Linked DNA regions of Nothobranchius furzeri. The protein of the gene in region 2 purifies or fractionates together with the protein of the main gene of each other region. This does not show direct contact. Links are inferred from orthologs where the notes say so. Each region holds a gene or a part of one and is shown on either strand. Other genes may lie near its edges.

Region 1 (4,355 bases), on a different chromosome or scaffold from region 2:
CCTGTACACTTCCTCAAAATGAGTTCAAATATTTCAACCCTCCAGTGGAAGTCTTATTGGAAGCTTGGCCTGTACAGTAGCTGGAGCTCATTAATGCAGCTTAAGTACCAGCGGCTGGCTGGCTGTGTTGACCTTCAGCTGAGAGCAAAAACAGATAAAAACACAAAGATGCATGACTCAGTCTTTTCATGGCAGCCACGTCCACAGCCTGCCTCCGATTTATTATCTTAACAAGACTGCAGCAAGCAGCAACTTTTCAACAGGTGAAATCAGAATTAGGACCAAATCTTCTGTCTACATATAAAATTATTACCGGAGCTGTAATTCAACGTTGCGATCTGTTTGAAACTCATTCTCTTAAGTGACACTTTTGACATCATCAACATATTCAACGTTACACTCAAGACAAAGAGCTCACTCACACACAGCTGACAAAATTGGAAGGAAAAACTAAGCATTTCTGCTCTACAGTGCTGTTTTCTGATCAGTGCCATCACTGGACAGGAGACCCACTTCACGCCAAGAACAGAATGAAGCTCCATGAGTCACTGGTTTGAAACTCATACACACACCAATGAAGCAACCTATGGGCAGTAATGCTCAGCAACATACAGCCAGCTGAAATATAGTACACCCTCTCACCTTGAGTGTTCTGGAAGTAGTGGCGCCACAGCGGCCTGATTTTATCCTGACCGCCCACATCCCAAACTGTGAAGCTGATGTTCTTGTATTCTACCGTTTCAACGTTAAAGCCTGCACACCAGAGAAGGAAAGATGGTGAGGCATCAACAATTTTAAAAAGTGTTCACAATTTACCAACAGTGTGTGTACAGACAAGACAGGGTTGAGGAGCTAACATTCGTCTCTGAAGGTTGAACATTAGAAAAATGACCCAAAATCTGTGCAGGTATTTTAAGACAGTTATTCTTCTGAAAAACTCTAACTCATCAGTTGGTCCACAATTATCTAAAATTATATTTGGTACAAAAATAATCCTTATAACATAAAAGCCTGAAGATAAGCAGCCTTCCAACAAGAAGAATAACCAACACTACTGACAAGAGGTTGACCAATAATGGTTTTTCTATTGCTGATACCAATGCCAGTATGTAGGAGACATGATCTGCCGACAGCTGACACGTACTGCTGATTTTTATTGGCATTTTCATGGCCTATATCCAGACATTTTCCATCTAATTTTACTGAATTTAACTAGCTGTTAAATATCAACTTTGTGCATGGTTCAGTGTTAAAGTCAGACAACTAAATAAAGTTAATTTAGAGTACATATTATGCTGATGTTATCAGCAAATGTAAAAATACATTTAAATTAAATTCTGCAACAGCACCGAGCTACCAGAGGTTGTCCATGTTGTAGTTCTTTTTAAACACAGAGTAGTTTTGTTTACCTGTTTTCCCGCTACGTTTCGTTTGCGGCTGCAAACTTCGACGCAGTTTGCAGCTGCAAACGAAACGTAGCGGGAAAACAGGAACACAAAACTACTCTGCGTTTTAAAAAGAACTACAACATGGAATTAGAAATACTACACAGCAAGAACAAAGATGTTACCAGAGGATGTGCTTGACTATAAATTGGCCTTACAAATATAAATCTATTGATGTATAAAAATGGTAAATAACAGCCCAACATAATGCTCTACCCCTACTACTGACATGAATAAATAAATCCGTACCAATGGTTGGAATGGTGGTGACTATTTCTCCAAGCTTCAGTTTATACAAGATTGTTGTTTTCCCAGCAGCATCGAGCCCAACCATCAGAATTCTCATCTCTTTTTTGCCAAACAGGCCCTTGAATAAGCTTGCAAATACATTCCCCATGGTGACAAAGCTGTAAGAAACGGAAACTGTTAAACAGGGTGACACATAGGTAGAAAAGGATGAAATGTAGTAAACTTATCTTAAATAAAATCTAATTATCCAATCCAACATTCTAAACAACACTTTAAATGTAAGGCTGTTAGTTTTTTGCAGCACCAGAAGAGGGAGCATCATTAGGAACATAAGTTTTAAGTCAAACAGAAAGACTCCAGAAGGCATTTCACAAAAGGCAATACAGCCAATATGGAAATGACAGGTACATACAGAAATGTGTTCTATAGAAGTTGGGAGACAAAGGTTAATGGTGAAACTAGGAACCGTTTTCAACTGAGTCAGGGTAAAAAGAAAAGTTGAGTTCGCGTTAAATATATTCGAGTTTTAGCTTTTGGGTAAACACTAAAATATTCAATCCATGTGTTCCTCAATTAACTTTTAAGAAAACAAAACTCTGAAAAATTAATCTTAATTCATCAGACTTGATCACCTGATCCAACCATCTCGTTCACCCGGATTAGCCTAACAGCTAACTAACCCTTGATTAGGCCTGCTCCAGATGGGAAACTCCGGTTGGGCAAAGTGTTATTGTGCGTGAAAGTAAACAGCAGCTCGACATCCAATCCAACTTAATCTAACAGAGGTTTGATGAGTGTTTAAGAGAAAAATAATAACAGAAAAATCCTGTATTACAAATTATAACGCAACGGGTAGCTTTGGATGTTAGCTTCAGCTAAGCGCTATTAGCTTCACTAAGGGCGGATGCTTCAGCTAGCCGATTGTGGACAACTATTCATCCAACAAATGTTTTAAACAACACATAGCGACACATTATGAAGAAATGTAACGCTGACATAATTGACAAGTACCAGTGGAACTGATGTTCAGCTCGTTGAAAAAAATCGCCGTAACAGATCTTAGATCACCAGTTACAGGAACTGATGTAGCGCGCTAGCTACCATTAGCTAATTGCCGCGTCACTGCTAAGCGAACACCATCACGTAATGTTAAACGCCACTCAAACCGAGTCATTTGAATATAGTAACAACCACCACGCGTTAGGCTATTTAAGGGTACAGAGATGAGCGTGTTTCTGAAGTTTGTTACCTCTAACGACACAGCTTCTCGATCTTTCCGTTACCTTTTACTGTCACTCCAAAATGGCGTCTTGCGCAACCAGGGAGACACCGGCGTTACGAGTGCTTCCCACTATCAAGTTATGGCCAATCATAGCGCCTATGGTGTAAGTGAGAGCCCGCCCCCGTCTATCGGCGAAGCAATCACAGCGGCGGAGGATCGACGTGTGAAAAGTGCACAAAATGTCGAGGAAGTGATGCGAGGCGGACAAGTTGGTCAAGTTTCTAATCAGGTTGTATGGCAGGCCTCAAGTTTCTAATCAGGTTTATGGCAGGCCAATGTAACATATAGTCAAAATATACCTGTTATACCGGTTTTTATAAATGCTAAACTTTCATCAATAATTTCACACGGTTAAGTCCAATAATCCTTTACACAGTAATAAACATATATCTAATTAAATATGTCAAAAACAAAATCAAGTAAAAAACAATGTCTCCACAACAGATACTATAAAACACCTCAAACTGACATTAGAAGACCCTAGTAAGTAGACCCTAGTAAGTAGACCCTAGTAAGTTTCTTGTAATGGAAATTCTTTGAGAAATACCGGTATGTACAATGTTTATTTCATATATGTCAAAAAATAGTCCAAATCATGTAAGTGGAAGAATGAATGATTCTTTGTTGTTCTGTTTGAGAGCCAGCAAACAACAAGCTGACATTTTCAACACAGAAAGGGTAGGTACTCTGAGCTGCTTTTGGGCACATAAGGAAACTTTCATTCTCTTGGGTAAACCTCAACATACAGGTTGACAGTCTGAGGTTCACCAGCCGCATCGGGTCTTCGCCTTTCTCCAGTGATGAAGAGAGCTCAACGCCAGGAGCTAAGGCTATTGTGTAGAAACGTGTCCATCTATATCCAGCCAGTACTGCTCAATCTCTTCCACAAGTCCCAGCTCCTTCCTTGTCATTCCATGTTCCAAACATTCAGGATCCAACTGCTAGCGCTACCACCTCGGTCTGGCCAACACAGACCCATCATGCTCCTCTTGCAGGTGGTGGGTCCACAAGTAGACAAGTCCATGACACCAGAATGCTAAGCCCAGCCATCAGGCATTCGCACGGGCCCAACACCTGGCTTGGTTTCAGGGTGGCCACAGTAATTTTCCAGGCCAAATACTGTTGAAGGATTTTCTGAGCGAGATTTGCTCTTGCCATGGGAGTCGGGAAATGAAAATCTCAGTCAAAAGGTCAGGTTCCTTCCGTTTCTCATATCTTTAAAGTGGCATGGGCAAATCTGCTAAATTATTCTCACCTCTCCTGTTGGCTTTCATCCCTAGGTCATGTTCCCTTGCTGAACACCAGTCATAGTTTCTAGGTCTAAACAGCTTTTGCTTTCCACAACTTAAAATGGCATTTTGCTTTTTATTGGGGGGGGG
Region 2 (4,301 bases):
TAAGTACAGACATCATTGGTGTCAACAAAATAAAAGCCTAGGTTTGTTCTCATTTTTGTAACTTTGTGAGAAAAATAAAAGTTTTACTGATTTATTTGAAGCAAACATTTTAGAAAAAGTTTAATAATCCAGGCGTTTGCAGACTTTAGGACTAAACCGTTTCACTTTAGAGGATAATTATAGTTTATGCACCAAATTTAACCATGAAGTTGAAATAGTAAAAAAAAGTCCCACATTCAGATTTCTGCAGATGCAAACAGGAAATAACCTCAGCTAATGAAGCCACAGCAGCTGAGTGCTAACTGATTTTATCATCATTTAAATATTTTTATTTTAATGTAAAACCAGAGTTTAGCAGCTGGAACCTTCAGTTTCCTCCTGCTGCTGCTAAAACCTGCTGCTGGGTTTCAGTTCACTACAAACATGAATATGGATAATCGTCAGCAGGTTTAAAAGTCCCTCCGTGAGTAAATAAGCTCCGTGTGAGCCGTCTGTTGTTGAAACACGAAGGAAAACGTCGGTTTGATGAGGTTTTAGAAGCTTAAATACGTCTACTTCTGCCTCGTCTCTTCCCTTTATACAACAAGATCATTTTAGGTAGCACCAGAGCAGAAATGTTAAAGCTGCTGCCAGTGGTTCAATAGCATCACTATGGCAACCACCAGTGGCTGTTAGGGGTTCTACTGCAGTGAGACATATGATGACATCATCACAGAGACAGAACAACATTCAGTCATGGAAAGTCCAGCTTCCTGTGTCCCGGTTGGACTCTGGATCAGGTTTCTACAGTCGAGTTTACCTGAGGGGGCGGGGCTTATTGTTAGAGGCTCCTCCTGCAGCTTGTTGCAGATATTGGGTACATCTCCCAAAGCTGCAGGATGTGAAACTGAACAAACGGTCTCCAGGATCATTCCTGTTATTTCCTAATTGGAGCAGAACGTTCTCCAGAGTGGGTGAGGTTCCTGCCTGCAGGCTGCTCCGTCTCCAGAGCCTCGTGGATCCTGACATTTAGCTGCTGCTGGTATTGATTAAAGGCTGGAATCGCCCATCAGGATGTGTGTGTGTGTGTGTGTGTGTGGCACAAACACACACACACACCCTCAAAGTAAATGAAGCACTCCCATCCTGTGGGCCGTGTTTACAGGCCTGGCTGAGTACCGTTAGCCCGTTGCCACTGAGGTGCAGATCTCCTGATCTGAGACTCTGTTCAGCCTCCCAGCAGCACGGCGTTCCGGTAATCTCCTAAAGTGGTTCTGGATCATGGATGTCCAGACTGTCAGGCTGTTGTAGAACTATGATCAGGGTGACTAGAAGCAACGACAGGACAAAACTAAAAGTTTCGAAACTAAAGAACCTCCAGATGATCCAGAAGTTATCGCGGTGTTTCCCGACTGAGCCGACTCCAGAAATCAGACCAAATTATGGTTCTGAGGGGGGGCCAGGGGCGGAGCCAGAGGGGGTTCAAAGAGGGCCAGATGGGCCCCTGATAAGCTCGAGGGCAGGAGCAAAACCAAGAACCATGACTGAACTTCAGGAGCTTCACCGCTGCTGACATGTTTAGGCTGCTTGAATATTCCTGCCGAGTTCCAGGTTTCCACAACAACCGTTTCCTTCATGTAAACGTGGGATTGCACAACCCACCGGGCTTTCATCCGATTTAGTCTTTGTTCTGCATATTTTCATCTTCTTTACGTCTGGCTGGCTCATCCCTTGAGTTAGAGGCAGAGGCTTAAAACACCCTGATCAAATCTCCTTTCACAGATTTAAGAAAAGAAGAAGAAAAGATTTTCTCTGACTTCCTGGTTGAGTCAGAAACATTTCAACAGCAGTTTCACAACAAATGAACGGAACCAGAACCAGAACACGGAGCCTGCGCGTGATTTACTGCTGGAGGTGAATCATCACCAGGAGTGATTTCAGAGGAGAAGGCGCTGGTTCTGGTTCTGACCCGAGCTGAGCTGGCTCTGGGTCAGCCTGTGTGGGGAGCTGGTTCTGGTTCTGACCCGAGCTGGTCGGAGGGAAGTTCACCGCGGACGGAGAGGAGAGCAGAGAAAAGGGGAACAATCATACAGGTCTGACCCGTTCCCATCCCGCCCACGAACAGCTCCAGAACCCGCCTCCCCCCGGGAGACGGTTCCAACAACCAGACTGATTAAACCCTGAGACCGAACCAGAACCAGAACCGGAACCCTGCAGCAGGATTCCTTCACACAGCAAATAAATATTAAATAAACCCGAACCAGCCAATCATTAAACAGCTCAACTCCAGCTAACTTCCCCAACACGATAAAACAAACACATGAAGCGGACCGAACCGGACCGGACCATCGAACCGGACCGGGACTCACCTCCTCCTGATGTGAAGCGACAGCAGCTGCACCTCTGGTCGGGAGACCCAAACCCACCTGATTGATGTCAAACAGCTGTAAAAAACCTGGGCACTACATCCGGTTGGCTCACCTTCAAAATAAAAGCCTATATCTGGGAGGAGAAAGGACCGCGAGAAAAAGTTTATAATGATTCAAGACTCCTGTTTAAAAACAGAAAAGGGTTAGCTCACAAAAACATAAAATACACACATGTGACTTCACTCACACTAGAGGCTCATTAGGGTCACCATGGTAACCATCAGTGACTCGTCAGCGGCGTGTGTTTAATGGAGCAGATGTGAGGGGTTACAAAGACCAACACTTCCTCCTTGTGAGATAACATTTAGAGCTAAATGTCTGTTATTATATTAAACTCTTGTGACGTCTGGCAGAGAGTCCGAGCGAGAGAGGATGCTGAATTTACCTCTTGTTATGGTTAAAGCAGCAGGGCGTGGCCTCCTCCCTTTTCTGTTCCAGGATGAGGCTCCTGCTCAGCACTGGAGCGTCTCTGCAGACAAATGAAGAGTAATCAGAATACTTCTGTTCTGGAGGTCTGGTGGCTACAAACCAGCTGCTGAATGCACTGAAGTCAAAGAAAATGAAATGGCATAACAACGTTCTGAGTTGTTTTGTAATTAGATGATTTTAACAGAAAGGTCAGCAGAATAAAAGAAAGTGTCAGACCACTCTTTAGGATAAAAATTAGGTGCAATAAAATAAAATTAGAAATCATTTTTTGAAAATGAAATACAGGCCATAATTATATTTTAAAGGTAATTATCTGTTCAATTCGGAAATGGAAACATTTAGACATTTTTAGTTGTTTTTAAAAACAAACATGCTTAAAACCTAACTGTGAGGCTTTTGTTTTGAAGGTTGAGTCACTTCCTGTGTAGAAACACTAGTCTGCTGTGTGATTTCCTGTGAGTAACCCAGAAAATCACACAGCAGCCTGTTTATTCTGACATAATTCACTTACATCTTTAAAATGTGAGAATTGTTGAGTAACAGTTAAACCAGACCCTGTTGCTGCTCCTGGTCCCTTCACTGCAGCTTCTCCTGCTGCACCTCCTGCTGCAAAGGGGACCAACAGGAGCTGCAGCTTCTCCTGCTGCACCTCCTGCTGCAAAGGGGACCAACAGGAGCTGCAGCTTCTCCTGCTGCACCTCCTGCTGCAAAGGGGACCAACAGGAGCTGCAGCTTCTCCTGCTGCACCTCCTGCTCCTGCTGCAAAGGGGAGCAACAGGAGCTGCAGCTTCTCCTGCTGCACCTCCTGCTCCTGCCGCAGTAAGGGGCCAGGAGCAACAGTAGGAGCTGCAGCTTCTCCTGCTGCACCTCCTGCTCCTGCTGCAAAGGGGAGCAACAGGAGCTGCAGCTTCTCCTGCCGTTCCTCCTGCTCCTGCAGCAGTAAGGGGCCAGGAGCAACAGTAGGAGCTGCAGCTTCTCCTGCTGTTCCTCCTGCTGCAAAGGGGAGCAACAGTAGGAGCTGCAGCTTCTCCTGCTGCACCTCCTGCTCCTGCTGCAAAGGGGAGCAACAGTAGGAGCTGCAGCTTCTCCTGCTGCACCTCCTGCTCCTGCCGCAGTAAGGGGCCAGGAGCAACAGTAGGAGCTGCAGCTTCTCCTGCTGTTCCTCCTGCTGCAAAGGGGAGCAACAGTAGGAGCTGCAGCTTCTCCTGCTGCACCTCCTGCTCCTGCCGCAGTAAGGGGCCAGGAGCAACAGTAGGAGCTGCAGCTTCTCCTGCTGTTCCTCCTGCTCCTGCAGCCACAGTGAGACAAAATAAAACATCTGCATGGAAATGAGCTGGAGTCTCTGACTGATAATTAAAATAATCACGTACTGAAGCTCCTGAGGTCTCACAAACGACAAGAACATAACGACGCTCAAGTTGATGCTTCGTCTTCTGCAGTTGGTAATAAATCTGTCCACAACCC

The links.
Region 1: the proteins of pld1b (region 2) and arf2b purify together in Homo sapiens (affinity purification with western blotting; 3 studies listed by BioGRID, with this or other methods). This does not show direct contact. The link is inferred for Nothobranchius furzeri from reciprocal best matches to the Homo sapiens genes PLD1 and ARF1.

What each region holds. Positions count from the first base shown.
Region 1 is NC_091756.1:54,223,178-54,227,532, reverse strand, and holds the start of arf2b (ADP-ribosylation factor 2b), read right to left. Parts: upstream 3,107-4,355; 5' UTR 2,978-3,106; exon of another isoform or gene 2,944-2,977; intron 2,751-2,943; exon of another isoform or gene 2,706-2,750; intron 1,853-2,705; 5' UTR 1,843-1,852; coding exon 1,695-1,842; intron 754-1,694; coding exon 643-753; intron 1-642. UniProt on the Homo sapiens protein: Small GTPase involved in protein trafficking between different compartments. Modulates vesicle budding and uncoating within the Golgi complex. In its GTP-bound form, triggers the recruitment of coatomer proteins to the Golgi membrane.
Region 2 is NC_091747.1:63,395,565-63,399,865, reverse strand, and holds the start of pld1b (phospholipase D1), read right to left. Parts: upstream 2,866-4,301; 5' UTR 2,794-2,865; intron 2,444-2,793; exon of another isoform or gene 2,349-2,443; intron 1-2,348. UniProt on the Homo sapiens protein: Function as phospholipase selective for phosphatidylcholine. Implicated as a critical step in numerous cellular pathways, including signal transduction, membrane trafficking, and the regulation of mitosis.